Arabidopsis thaliana: one gene and its partners. The protein of the gene in region 2 interacts with the protein of the main gene of each other region in a pairwise test. Each region holds a gene or a part of one and is shown on either strand. Other genes may lie near its edges.

Evidence for each region. Proteins that work in one complex are often made in the same cells at the same time.
Region 1: the proteins of PTF1 (region 2) and TCP14 interact in binary tests that used the Arabidopsis thaliana proteins (3 or more experiments, as listed by UniProt).
Region 3: the proteins of PTF1 (region 2) and ERF12 interact in binary tests that used the Arabidopsis thaliana proteins (3 or more experiments, as listed by UniProt).

What each region holds. Positions count from the first base shown.
Region 1 is NC_003074.8:17,556,765-17,561,767, reverse strand, and holds TCP14 (TEOSINTE BRANCHED, cycloidea and PCF (TCP) 14), read right to left. Parts: upstream 2,976-5,003; 5' UTR 2,765-2,975; coding exon 1,295-2,764; 3' UTR 509-1,294; downstream 1-508. UniProt on the Arabidopsis thaliana protein: Transcription factor involved the regulation of plant development. Binds to the Up1 elements (5'-GGCCCAWW-3') in early light-induced proteins (ELIPs, e.g.
Region 2 is NC_003074.8:388,917-393,280, forward strand, and holds PTF1 (plastid transcription factor 1), read left to right. Parts: upstream 1-1,803; 5' UTR 1,804-2,327; intron 2,328-2,580; 5' UTR 2,581-2,605; coding exon 2,606-3,673; 3' UTR 3,674-3,851; downstream 3,852-4,364. UniProt on the Arabidopsis thaliana protein: Plays a pivotal role in the control of morphogenesis of shoot organs by negatively regulating the expression of boundary-specific genes such as CUC genes, probably through the induction of miRNA (e.g. miR164).
Region 3 is NC_003070.9:9,950,131-9,953,613, reverse strand, and holds ERF12 (ERF domain protein 12), read right to left. Parts: upstream 1,853-3,483; 5' UTR 1,681-1,852; coding exon 1,111-1,680; 3' UTR 509-1,110; downstream 1-508.

The DNA.
Region 1 (5,003 bases), about 17 Mb from region 2:
GATATATTATATAGTCTGCATTCACATTTATTTTTATTTGTTTTCTGTCTTCATCCTTTTTGTAAAAACTTATATTTAACCCATGCGAAAACAGATTTTTAAAACTTCAGATTATTTATCTTGATTCTTGAATATATGACCGATCGATGTTGAGTGAATATTTTCTTTCACAACATAATAATAGATTTTATAAAGTAAATTATGTTCTAATTAAACACTATCAATTTACAAATTGTTAATATTACTTTCTAAAGGCATACAAACACAAAAAGAATATACTGAAACAATCAAATATTTTTGGTGTACTTCGTCAAAAAAAAAGAAACAAAATTTTGAGCCATAACTTTGTACGCGACATTCAAACTATATCACTTTCTAATTAATTCTCATAGTCTAAACTAGTCTTGATATAATATTATCATCATATACAAAACCAGTTTTAACAATATCATGATATAATAGTATTAGATATCTCATCATATACAAAATCAGATTGATTGTTTAGTGGGGACAAACGACAAAGAAACAGAGATAAAATGAATCATATACTAAAAAAAGCATTTAATATATTTCATAGCATATAAGATCAAACGAGATATTTTTATGTTTTTTGTATCGTTTTCGTTCGACCATGTAAAACAAACGAGACACTTTGCTGTTTTCTATTAGCTTTGAAACAACTACTTCAAGGGCCAAATATAACAGAGATTGGTGGGCCAATAGAGAGAGGCCCATCTCATTCCTTGATAAAATAGTTTCTCAATTTTTTTTGTATTAACACTTAAAAAAACGTAATGTTACTAAAAAAACAGTAAGATTATACTTTGATGTATATGTTACTATTATTACTATAGGAACCAACATTGTTTGACGAATACTTTTTAGAATTTTTCTTTATGTATAATTAATTTCTTAATGGATAAAGAAAACGAAGATGATTGAGAATCGAGACGACAGTGACACTATCAGAAGAAGAAAAAAAACAATTAAAAACAATAATGATAAAAAAAAGTGTCATATTCTCCTCAAAATCCAAAAAACCTGACATAAAAAATCTCGTGTACTATTTAATCACTCACTCACAAGAAAAATCAAATTTAAAATCAAGTAAAAAAATCAAAATTAAAAAGAAAATCTCACGTGTTTTTTTTTTTTTTTTTACTTAGCAAAAAAAATTACTACAGAAAATAAAAAAAATTAACGGTGAAAACAAAAGTTTTACACAGCCGCCGAACGCCGTCACCGCTACCGCCGTCGGCAGAAAATCCCACCGTTAAAATGTTTTTGTGTGTGTCTAATCTTGCTGATCCTCCTCATCACCACCTCCAAGTGATCCACTAGCTTGAGAGTCGCCGGAAACTTGCCGTCCGTACTGGTTCAAGCCGGAGAGAATATTATGATGATGTTGTTGTTGATGATGATGATGTCTCTGTGTATTATGATGATCACCACCACCGTCACTTCTTCCTCCTTCATTATTATTACTATCTTCATTAATCTCATGATTACTAGTTGTTGCTAGCTGTTGTTGTCCAGTAAGAAATGCCATTGGCGCTGCGAAATTCATAAAATGTAAACCGCTAGAAACCGCGCCGCTTGGAACGCCCGAAACGCCACTTCTATATAACGCTGCCGCTGCCGTGTTAATGGAAGGAAACGTCCAAACAGGCTCTCCACCGCCGCCACCAGTACCAATAGAAGCTGTCATAAGACCACCTGTTTGGTTGTTATTACCACCACCACCACCTGCAGCCGCAGCCGCCGCAACCATCCAGAAATTTCCCGGTATTTGTTGCGCGGCGGCTGCGGTGGCTGTAGATCCACTGTTGCTAGATTGAAGTGTATATCCTCCGATTTGATCATGTTGGTGTTGTTGTTGTTGTTGATGCAAATCCGACGTCGTTTGGATTCTTCTTTTCTTCTCCGAGTTTAACTCTTCAGAATCTTGATCTCCTTCTTGCTTTGTTGGATTATGAAAGTTCAAAAACGACGTCGTTGGTGTGAAGTTATCAATACCAGGAAACAAAGACGACGTAGGTGCACGTCCCTGTAGATGGGGATGATGAAACCCAACACCACCACCACGTTGTTGTTGTTGTTGTTGTTGAAGCATCGCCGGAGAAAATATGTTATTAGGGCTAAAAGTGGAAGCGGCGGAGCGGAAATGAGAAGGAAGAGACATGGAAGAGCCTGAAGAACGGAGAGAGATGTTTAAAGAAGTGAAATTCGCCGGGATTGTTCCGGTTCCGGTGGCGGCGATTACAGATGGTTCAGCTTGTTGAAGAAGCCACTCTATTGTCTCACCGTCGGATTTATGACCTAGCTCTCGCGTTAGCTGAAAAACCCTAGCTGCACATAACGCCGGCATCCTTATTCTCCTCCCTCTTCCGTCTACTTTCGTGTGTCGGTCTTTCGTCGACGCTCGTTTCAACGGTGGCTTTTTAGCTGCCACCACCGCAGATTCCTCTTGCGTTTGTAATAACTCTTTTTGCGTTGTCTGCGGTTGTGACTTTTGCGATTGCGATTGAGGTTGCGATTGAGATAATTGTTGGTGTTGATGGAGAGAAAATAGAGAGGAGGAGGAGGAAGGGGAAGGTTGTTGTTGATGGTTGTCGTCGGGGTCGTGTTTTCCGAGTAGTTGAAAAGGGAAAGTAGGGCGGTGGTGATGGTGGAGGTGACGGTGGTGATCATCTCCTCCTCCTCCTCCGACGCTGTCTCCACCGTCCATTATGACATTTAAGATACTTGATGTTGGCTTTTGCATATATAAGTGGGGAGCTATAACTATTTTATATATATTTTATAAATTAGGGTTTTTGGTTTTTTATTTATATGTGATGTTTTCGACAAGAGGGGAAAAAAAATAAAGTGTATAAGTCTGAAGGAATTGATTGAGAAAGAGAGGATAAGAAAGAGAGAGACAATGGAGAAGAAAAGCTTAAAGAAACAAAGATCATGAGTGAGAATTATATGGGTGAGCTTTACATAACATTAAAAAATTAAAAGAAAAATCTCATTACATATCTTTTTTTTTTCAAATGAAAATACTGTTCATTGCTTCTTTATGAAAATTACTTAAAATCATATACTTAGAGAAATGTCAACAATGGGAATATCATTTAATAGTTGAAGAAAAGAAAGTGTCATTTAATCAACGCAAAAATGAATTGATGTAATTAGCCAATGTGAATATTTCAACGTTAATTTCTGCTCAATCAAAATCAGTCTGTTATAGTTAACTTAATCCGAATTATATCAAATTATTTTTCACGTTAATTATTTTCTCAGATAAGCATTTAGTCAACTTTTTAAAACAGTAAAAAAAAAAAAAGGTTTAAACAAAATAAATCTGTCCATAATCAAAAGATTTCGGTATATCTTTCATTATATTCTTTTCTCGATGTAGATTTACTCATCAATCAAATGAAAAAAAAAACACCCACCGTAAAAAAGGGCTACAATATTCACCGTACAACGAAAATACTTTTCACGACTAGTTAAAAATGGAAAAATCTGAACGTTGCGTTAATAAATGAGATGAAAAAATGTACAATGTGGAGTCTTTAATATATAGTAAATGTAAGAAAAATATGTCATATATGTGAAGGGGATATGGTTGGAGAGAGTCGTTGTGGCAGCAGAGTCCACGTGAGGTGTCCTCTTTTATCATTCATTCCATAAAGACAATGGAGAGGTCGACGAGAGAGTGATGGGGCCAACACTCCTCTCCAAATTAAACAACTCAATTTGGTCAAAAATTTAGTAATTTATTTCAAAACGTTTTGGGTCCTACATCATTCACGTAATCATTCTTCCCCTGCTACTTTTGCCGGAAACTAGAAACATTATCATTGTTATTCACAATTTTAAACCCAAGCATTATTCGTTTTTATTTAATCAGATAGCAAATCTCTATACAAAAAAAGTGAAGAACTATGGTATGTAACACCACTGCCCAAAAGTTGATTTATGTATGTTATCAAATAAATAGGGTTTTTCAAAAAAAAAAGAAAAAACTAAAAGTATGAATAAAATGAGACTTTTAGCATTTTAACCAACCTCTCTGTTTTTCTATTATAAATGTCTATTTTTGTTTTTTCAAAGTAAAAGAACTACTTATTAAGGCTTTGAAATATTGTAAACTAAACTCTATTAATAATACATATGGAAACTATGACTATTTTGATAAAAATAAAAATATATGATCATAGATGTCATATATATAAATATATATATATATGTTAATGAATGTATTTGATGAAGAATTTTTGTAAATAACATATGATATGTGATATGTGTTATTATTCGAAGAAATGATATAGTTTAATATTACGTACACATATTACAAACTGTTTCGACGTATTACATATTTGTTGTTTAAATAAGCACCATAAACGTATATTTAAAATAAAGAAGCAAAAGTTTCAACAACAATTAAGATTATAAAAAGAGCATAAAGAATCGAAAGTATGGTAGAGTAAATGTGGATGATGATGATAGCTTTGGGATTCCCTCTCTTGTTATAAAATATAAAACTTTGATAAATATGCATGATTATATATGATGATGGTACTTGCTTTCGTTTCGTCTATTGGGGTCTTAATTAAATGCTTAATTAGGATTTAATTAAAAATATCTGGCACTATAGCTAGGGCTCAACCTTGAATAATTACTTCTTTTAGTTTAATAACTTAAACCAATTCACTAATCAATTGGTTTTGTACTATAAATTAATTATTGTAGATTGCAGTCTACTCCCACCTAGGACGGAATCAAATGGATTGTTCATATTCATAAATGTAAAATGACAGAAACACAAGTGGTCGGTCTAAATTATAAATATTACTTACCATGAGTCCTGTAAATTATAATTATTCCTTTATGTAAGAAATAATTAACACCCCCAATAGTCACATACGTACTTGCATTGTAATGAATAAATTATTGTTGGAAGATTGAATCTAACATTTTAAGTATCATTTTACAGGCAGGTTTACTATATA
Region 2 (4,364 bases):
ATTTGAATATCCACGTCAACCGAAATTAATGATTTGGTGTTCTATTTGCAATATTCACGTAAGCTCACGTAATTCATACGTTTTTGTTTGTCTTGCTAACTTTAGCTTCATCTCATTTATATACGCTGATATTGATTGCTATTTATCAAATATGGAGAAATGTGTTTAACTTTTAACATGATTTTTAGGATATTATTGTCGTTGATATATATATCCTTCACATCATTAATTATTATTATGGATGTGAAAATACTATAGAAAAGCTATTAAAACCCCAATCTTTGTTCATGAGACAACAAAATTCTGGAGTCGGTGAAGTAGACATGACTTAATGGATTCTAAGTTTGTCCGATTTCTCCTTTGTTCCCATGTGATGTCTTAAGATAAAATGATCATCATCACACTTTCTTTTTCTCTTACTCCTTTGTTTCGATTCATAAGGATATATTGCTTTCGTCCACTTCTAATATTCTTATATCACTTTATTTAAAAGACAATGTACAATTTAATAAAATTAATAATTTGATGAATGTTATTGATTCATATAGATATTTAAAATGTATTTGAAAAAGGGGTACAAATCTTATTGTGAATGGATAATTAATTAAGTTGCATACTTCAAAAGACAATCATGTGGATACTTTTTTATTATTAGTTTTATGGATTTGAAATTCTGAAAAATACTCGTCTCAATTATTCTTAGAACATTAAGTTTGACCTAAAAGAATGGTTTGACTAGTAATATGGGAATTATATAGGTGCCCCTTTTCACAGATGATGCATCCGAATAACAAAATCATATTACTTCTTATATCCTACCGTCCATATTAATTATATTAGATTACACATTTAAATATAATATATACATCATTAGATCTAATATAGAAAATCTTATTAAAAAAAAATCCTTATATAAAGAAAAATCACAAGGTTAACACAACCTTATCGATAAATAAAGATGTTAAAACTGATTTTTATATATGAAGCAAAAGTAAATTAGGGCTTAGTGATGTCTAGTTAAAGTACTTGTGTTTTGAAAAGGTAATGAGTCATGACTCAACAAGGTACACAAGGCGTGCATCGGGTAAACCACAACCTTTTGTAATTGTCGATATAACAGCATGCCAATATTCACATGGACCATATACTGTGTGTATATTATATATTACCATATATGTGAGTTACATTTCATATTGTAGAACCAAGGACTAAATTTAAACATAATGTACCATATTCTTTTAATTAGATTATTCATAAGATATCCAATTTAAAAGATGAGTTAAAATGATCAAGAAAACGCTACGCTGAACTCTAAAGTCTAATCTTTATCATTTATAGAAGTGTTATGAAACAAATCAATACCTGGTTAATAATTGATGTAGTTTCATTTTTTTTTTTAAGAAAAGAAAGTGATGAAGTGTTTAACTAGTCATAATATTATAGATCCAACTTCATTTCAATATATCACGAGTGCATTGGCGGCTGCAAAACATATTTTTGAAAAGAGCAAAAAAAAAAATCAAGGATCATAAATAATATAGGTCTTGGCTTTTTAATTCTACCAATAGATTTACAGTGGACAATTAAAGAAAAAAAATCACGAAATTATCATGGTTTGGCTAATTGAGATAAAATTCATACGTTTTCCATCAATAATCGTACATCATCCATTTCACAACAATAATTATTCCTAAAATGTCGTTATTTTCATAACATTGGTTAGATGTTCTAATAAGCTACTATTATATATAACTTCACGTCAATGTATGTTTGATTTTGGCATCTAAAATTTCTGTAAAATTTAGATATTCGCGTATACTTTTTTTGGGATTTTCTTCTTAGCCGTATTATAACTGCAACTCATATCACATACGTGGATGATAAAATATTCGAGTTTAATATCTCCTCCGTATGTAGATTTGATATGATCCATAATATTAAAGATGAAAATGAACTTGACTGATTATTCAGCGCATTCATTTTATTTTCCCTTCGAGGATAGCGAAATCCGCCACGTGGCATTACTACATCCATTGCTTTTTTTAACATAAATACTTAAGTCGCAATTCTTCTAAATTTTGGAGGCTTATGATATTGGTAGGGTTCTCATATTCACTTCCAAAAGCATCTTCTTCTTTCTAATTTTCTTTTTCTTTTTATCTTATTTTCATTTTATTCATATACTTTTTGAAAAGAAAAGTCGAATCACATACTTTCTTCTCTCTATTTCTCATTCTCTCTTCTTCATCATATTACTCATTTTATAGAACAGCAAAACCCTAGATTTCCTGTTCAAGCTCAAGACCGTACAAAACTTTGGAACTCATGTAAGAAACAGTACACGTTTTTTTTTTTGTTTCTTCTTCAGTCCGGATTATAAGAATTTTGTCGATTGAAGAAAACAGGCTAAATTAAACCCTAATTTTCTCTCTTAGACAATTCCTACTTTCTCTCCATTTTTCTGGATTCGCTCTCGTTTTAAAAGGATTCAGAAATTAACTATATTATTTGAATTCTTTTGCCATAATTCCCTTATGTTTTCTGCTAATGGATATACATTTGGTCTTCTTTCTGTATTAGATATAAAGATCTCGAGAATAGCATTATGAATATCGTCTCTTGGAAAGATGCAAACGACGAAGTTGCAGGCGGCGCTACGACAAGACGTGAAAGAGAAGTAAAAGAGGATCAAGAAGAAACCGAAGTCAGAGCCACCAGTGGCAAAACCGTAATTAAAAAGCAGCCTACATCGATCTCTTCTTCTTCTTCTTCGTGGATGAAATCCAAGGATCCGAGGATTGTTAGGGTTTCACGCGCCTTTGGAGGCAAAGACCGTCACAGCAAAGTGTGTACGTTACGTGGACTACGTGACAGACGCGTGAGATTATCAGTCCCAACGGCTATTCAGCTCTACGATCTTCAAGAACGGCTCGGTGTTGACCAGCCTAGCAAAGCCGTTGACTGGTTGCTTGATGCAGCTAAAGAGGAGATCGACGAGCTACCTCCGTTACCTATCTCGCCGGAAAATTTCAGCATCTTCAACCATCATCAGTCCTTCTTGAATCTTGGTCAACGGCCCGGTCAAGATCCGACCCAACTCGGGTTTAAAATCAATGGATGTGTACAAAAGTCTACTACTACTAGCCGCGAAGAAAACGATAGAGAGAAAGGAGAAAACGATGTCGTTTACACAAACAATCATCATGTTGGGTCTTATGGAACTTATCACAACCTGGAACATCATCATCATCATCACCAACATTTGAGTTTACAGGCAGATTATCATAGTCATCAACTACATAGTCTTGTCCCATTTCCATCACAAATTTTGGTATGTCCAATGACGACATCACCAACAACTACAACTATACAATCTTTGTTTCCATCATCATCGTCAGCTGGTTCAGGGACTATGGAGACATTAGATCCGAGGCAAATGGTAAGCCATTTTCAAATGCCATTAATGGGTAATTCTTCATCTTCGTCTTCCCAAAACATTTCGACATTATATTCGTTGTTACATGGTAGTAGTAGCAACAATGGTGGTAGAGACATTGATAATCGGATGTCGTCGGTCCAATTCAACCGAACTAATAGCACTACAACGGCTAACATGTCGAGGCATCTAGGCTCGGAGCGTTGTACAAGTAGAGGAAGTGATCACCATATGTGAAGTTAGATTATTGAAACGATATAATTGTTGTTTGATGTGTTCAGAAATAAGGGGACACAAAACAAAATATAAGGTAATTACTATTGTACTATGTTTTGCTGATATATTTTTTAATAGACAAATTAATGTTATAAATTGATTTATTAATTTACTATTAGCATGTGTTTTGAAACTTTCTCATGTATATATATATATATAGCTTCCTCATAGGATCTGAATACACACAAACATACATGAAATGTATTATAAGTATCTGATAGTAATGTATGCACTTTGAGATGAGAAGCTAAATTACATTCAGATTCATCAAATATTTAGCAAAAAAAAAAATCAGATTCATCAATAGGTAACGTAATAATATGAAATTGAATCTAATAATTTATACTGATCTGTTATCGAGGTATTATGTTTCTATTGGATGCACGGTACAATGCAACTATAGAACTCAATGTGACCGTAGCTAGATAGATTATTAGATGATGATATAAGTGGAGATTCCACAAAACCCAAACAAACCTAACATTACTATGTCATGTGAAGCAGATATATATTGAACCCATTATCAAATAGAAATTCATCATGAATGGTTATTATACATACAAGTGCCCATTTTAAAATCTTATTAGCATAGTAAGTAAACTATCAAGATGCAAAGAAGCCATTCCCATATAAAAATTAAGATGTGTAGCTA
Region 3 (3,483 bases), on a different chromosome or scaffold from region 2:
TTATGAAAGCAATATGCATAATGCATGATCTTTGTTTAGTCAATACATATGTCTAAGTGTCTAACACATGTAACAGTTCTATGACTGTTTTATAGTCTCATAAAACTACACGATTCCGGTTCTACATATAAAACATAAACATAAAATCTTCACAATCTGCATGAAAGTTTTGATTTCGCTACGTGAGATCTCCTTTAGTTAATTAATTTGACTTCTTATGATATTTGATTATATCAAACATGTTTGTTTCATTTACTACTGAAATTTGCGTTATTTTAAGACTTCTGTAGATAAATTTGTTATGTGAATTTGATATTTATCTATATAGGACCGTCAAAAATTTTATTTATTTTATATTTTTAGATGCTTCTATATATATATGTATACACGCATAACATATATAAGATTGGTAAACATGAGCAGAAAAATTATAGGACAATTAAACTTCCTCTAATTTTATCAGAAAACTTTTGTTCGAATTCATATGAAAATTTTCAAAATAAATAAAAAAATACAATTTATTTACAAACTCAAGACTCATAATACACATATCTTGTCCGTAAGTGAATAAGCCAGTCCAAACTCACACGCTTGCTCAGCATTTACGTCTCTCATTAGTCTCTATCTCTTTTGTTTGTTTCCTTCTTTTCTCAGTCCGTCTTTTGTCGTGATTTAAGAGAGAGGCGCGTGAGTCAAACAGGACACTAGCAAAGCAAACAGCTGCACAAGTCAGTCCGTACTTCACGACACGCCATAGAATACGATAAGATTTTTAAAACCCCCTCGAAACCGACATAAGCGACGGTCGTAACACGATCCACAAACATAATTAGATCCACGTTCAGACGTTGTTAAGTTTTTGTGTTGCTAATTAAGAAGTTTCTTGTTTTTTCCGCAACATATGGATCTCACAACAACAATCGATCTCCGACTCTTACATAACGAACAAAAGAAGGATTAAATTATAAAAACAAGTCTACTAACTCTAACAAAAAGATACTATTTGCTAAAAAAAGAAACTAAAGTAGTTCCACCGAAAGTGGTCTCAAACGGCGCCGTATAGAAAAGTAGGCAAAACGGCGCCGCTATATCCATCTTTATCGTTTGTTTTCAAAGCCAAAGCGGCGGAGGCTCGTTGAGGTCAATGGCTAAGCCACGTCTCACCGTAACAGGGGAAGGAGAAGAATTCATCATCGGAAACCCAACCACTTGATAACCAGGCGATGACGTGGCTGTGTTAGGCGAGGAGGTGAAGTAAAGCGGCGCTTCTGTAGAAGAGTAATCTGAAGTTTTGTCGTTTAGCACACCGGTTCGGAGAAAAATGCGGTGGTGTTGGTGATGATGGTCGGAGCTTGGAGGAACAGGAGGAGGCGCAGCGAACCAGAGCTGTTGGTGTTGGTGGGGTTGGTTATTTGCGGCGGCGGTTGCGGCTGAGGGAGCGGAAGGGAGGTGGTTGAGGTCGAGAGAGAGAGGAGAAGGGAAGTTAGTTTTGGCTTTGATACCACGGAGGAAACGAGCAGCGCCGTCGTAAGCAAGAGCAGCTTCTTCGGGAGTGTCGAAAGTGCCTAACCAAACCCTAGTTTTCTTCCAAGGATCTCGTATCTCAGCAGCGTAGCGACCCCAAGGTCTCTTTCTGACTCCTCTGTAATGCACCTCTCTTGCACACGTCGTTGACGCCATTGTTAGACTCTCAAGAGGGGAAATATGAGAGAATCTAGAGAGAAAGTGGAGAAGAGAAGAAAGAGGTTTTGCTTTGTTGGCTCGTTTGACCCAAATGAGAGAGAGAGTGAGTGAGTTTAAAGAGCAAGAGGTGTGTTTGTAGGGCCGCTTGAGAACACCCGTAATCCTCGGCTTCTTTTGACGATTATCTATCTTTATTTGTTGCCTATACGTAATATATATGGCAAGTTAATAGTAAAAACAAAACTGAATAGTGTTTGATTTCTAGGATCGAGGTTTTCTCTGGGGTTTGCAAGAATCAAGCACCGTTCGATCTTTTGCTGTTGGGTGATGTGACGGTGGTATGCTGAGAGATTGTTACACGTGGGTGTTCTACACCAAAATAATGTTGTTTTAATAAGTTGATGTATTTGAAAAAATACAATAGGATTTCTCATAAAGTGAATACTTCTAGTGGTGAGTGGACTTATTCTAGGACATGAAAGAAAACAATGCTAATCATTCCTTTGAGTGCTAATACTGTTTTCTTATCTACCATTTACAACTTCTGTTATATAAAAAAGATTTGTTAGGTAATGGTTAGAAATAAAATATTTTAGTTCTACTCTCCAAACAACCTCATTACCGTTGTAACTTATGGTAAATTAACTCATTACTTGCTAGTGACGATAATGCCATACTATGAAATTTATGCTATTATAAAAAGAAGATAGAAAGATCATTTTTGCATAGGCTCTCCAAACATTTTTTCATAATTCAAGTACTTTGTTTTCGATCGTAACAATCTCGATGCTTTTTCTCACAGCAACCATTGATACAAAATGATCAAAGAAAAAAGAACTAAAAATAAATAATCTTGTACATTTACGAAGAGGAAAGAAAAATGGGCCGCCTCTTTGACTGAACCTGTGGCATAGGGATGCTGACGTAATCCCTAGTACTGATAATAGCCATCTCTCTCTATCTTTTGTATCTTTCACTCTATTATTTGACAAGTATTTAAATGCTCTCTTTTGGGGTTTTATTGGCACCCATATATATTTATGATGCACGAGGACAAGGCTACAAGGAGATCATTAAATAAAGTTACTTGACACAACTACTCTATCTTTAGCTCTGACTGATTTTGTTTTTCTTTTTGTCCAAAATTCATTAGCCCATCTTATGCAAACTTACTATACTCTCTAGTCTATACTAATAGAGTAGATTACATAGGCTCTTTCTTTTCCCTCTAAAAAGTGACGTAGTTTAAGTCTTTATATTGTGTAAAATATATAGTAATCATAGGAGTCAAAAATTTATAGCAATTGAAGTGGCTTATAATTTTCAGTAATAGACAATGAATTAAAACAAATTAGTTAGAGGTTTTTTGTTTTTGTTTTATCAACTGAAGTTTTATTAGATTAATTTGTCTTTTAACTTCTCTATTTCTTGACATTTTGTAAGATGTTTTTGTTTGGTTTTAGGGTTATTTAAAAATAAATAAAAAAATCTGTGTTTCCTTTCACGTGACAAGGCTTAGGGTCTGTCGTTTTGATTGAACAAATGCATTGGTCCATATCTAACAAAATTTATACACGTGCGAACTCTGATGTCTGACTTCTCTCTCTCTGACATATCTAATTATTTAAATTAACCCTACCTATAAGCACAGTAAAAAAAAGAGAGATACCCCAAAGCTATATAAGCTACTACAGTACTAATAATCATTTTCAAGAAATATTTTGGAGAAAAATGTGAATGTGGCTTTCGTGTTCACGTGAGCCTGTGATACATAAGAGCTTTATGACGTGTCTTTGTAGT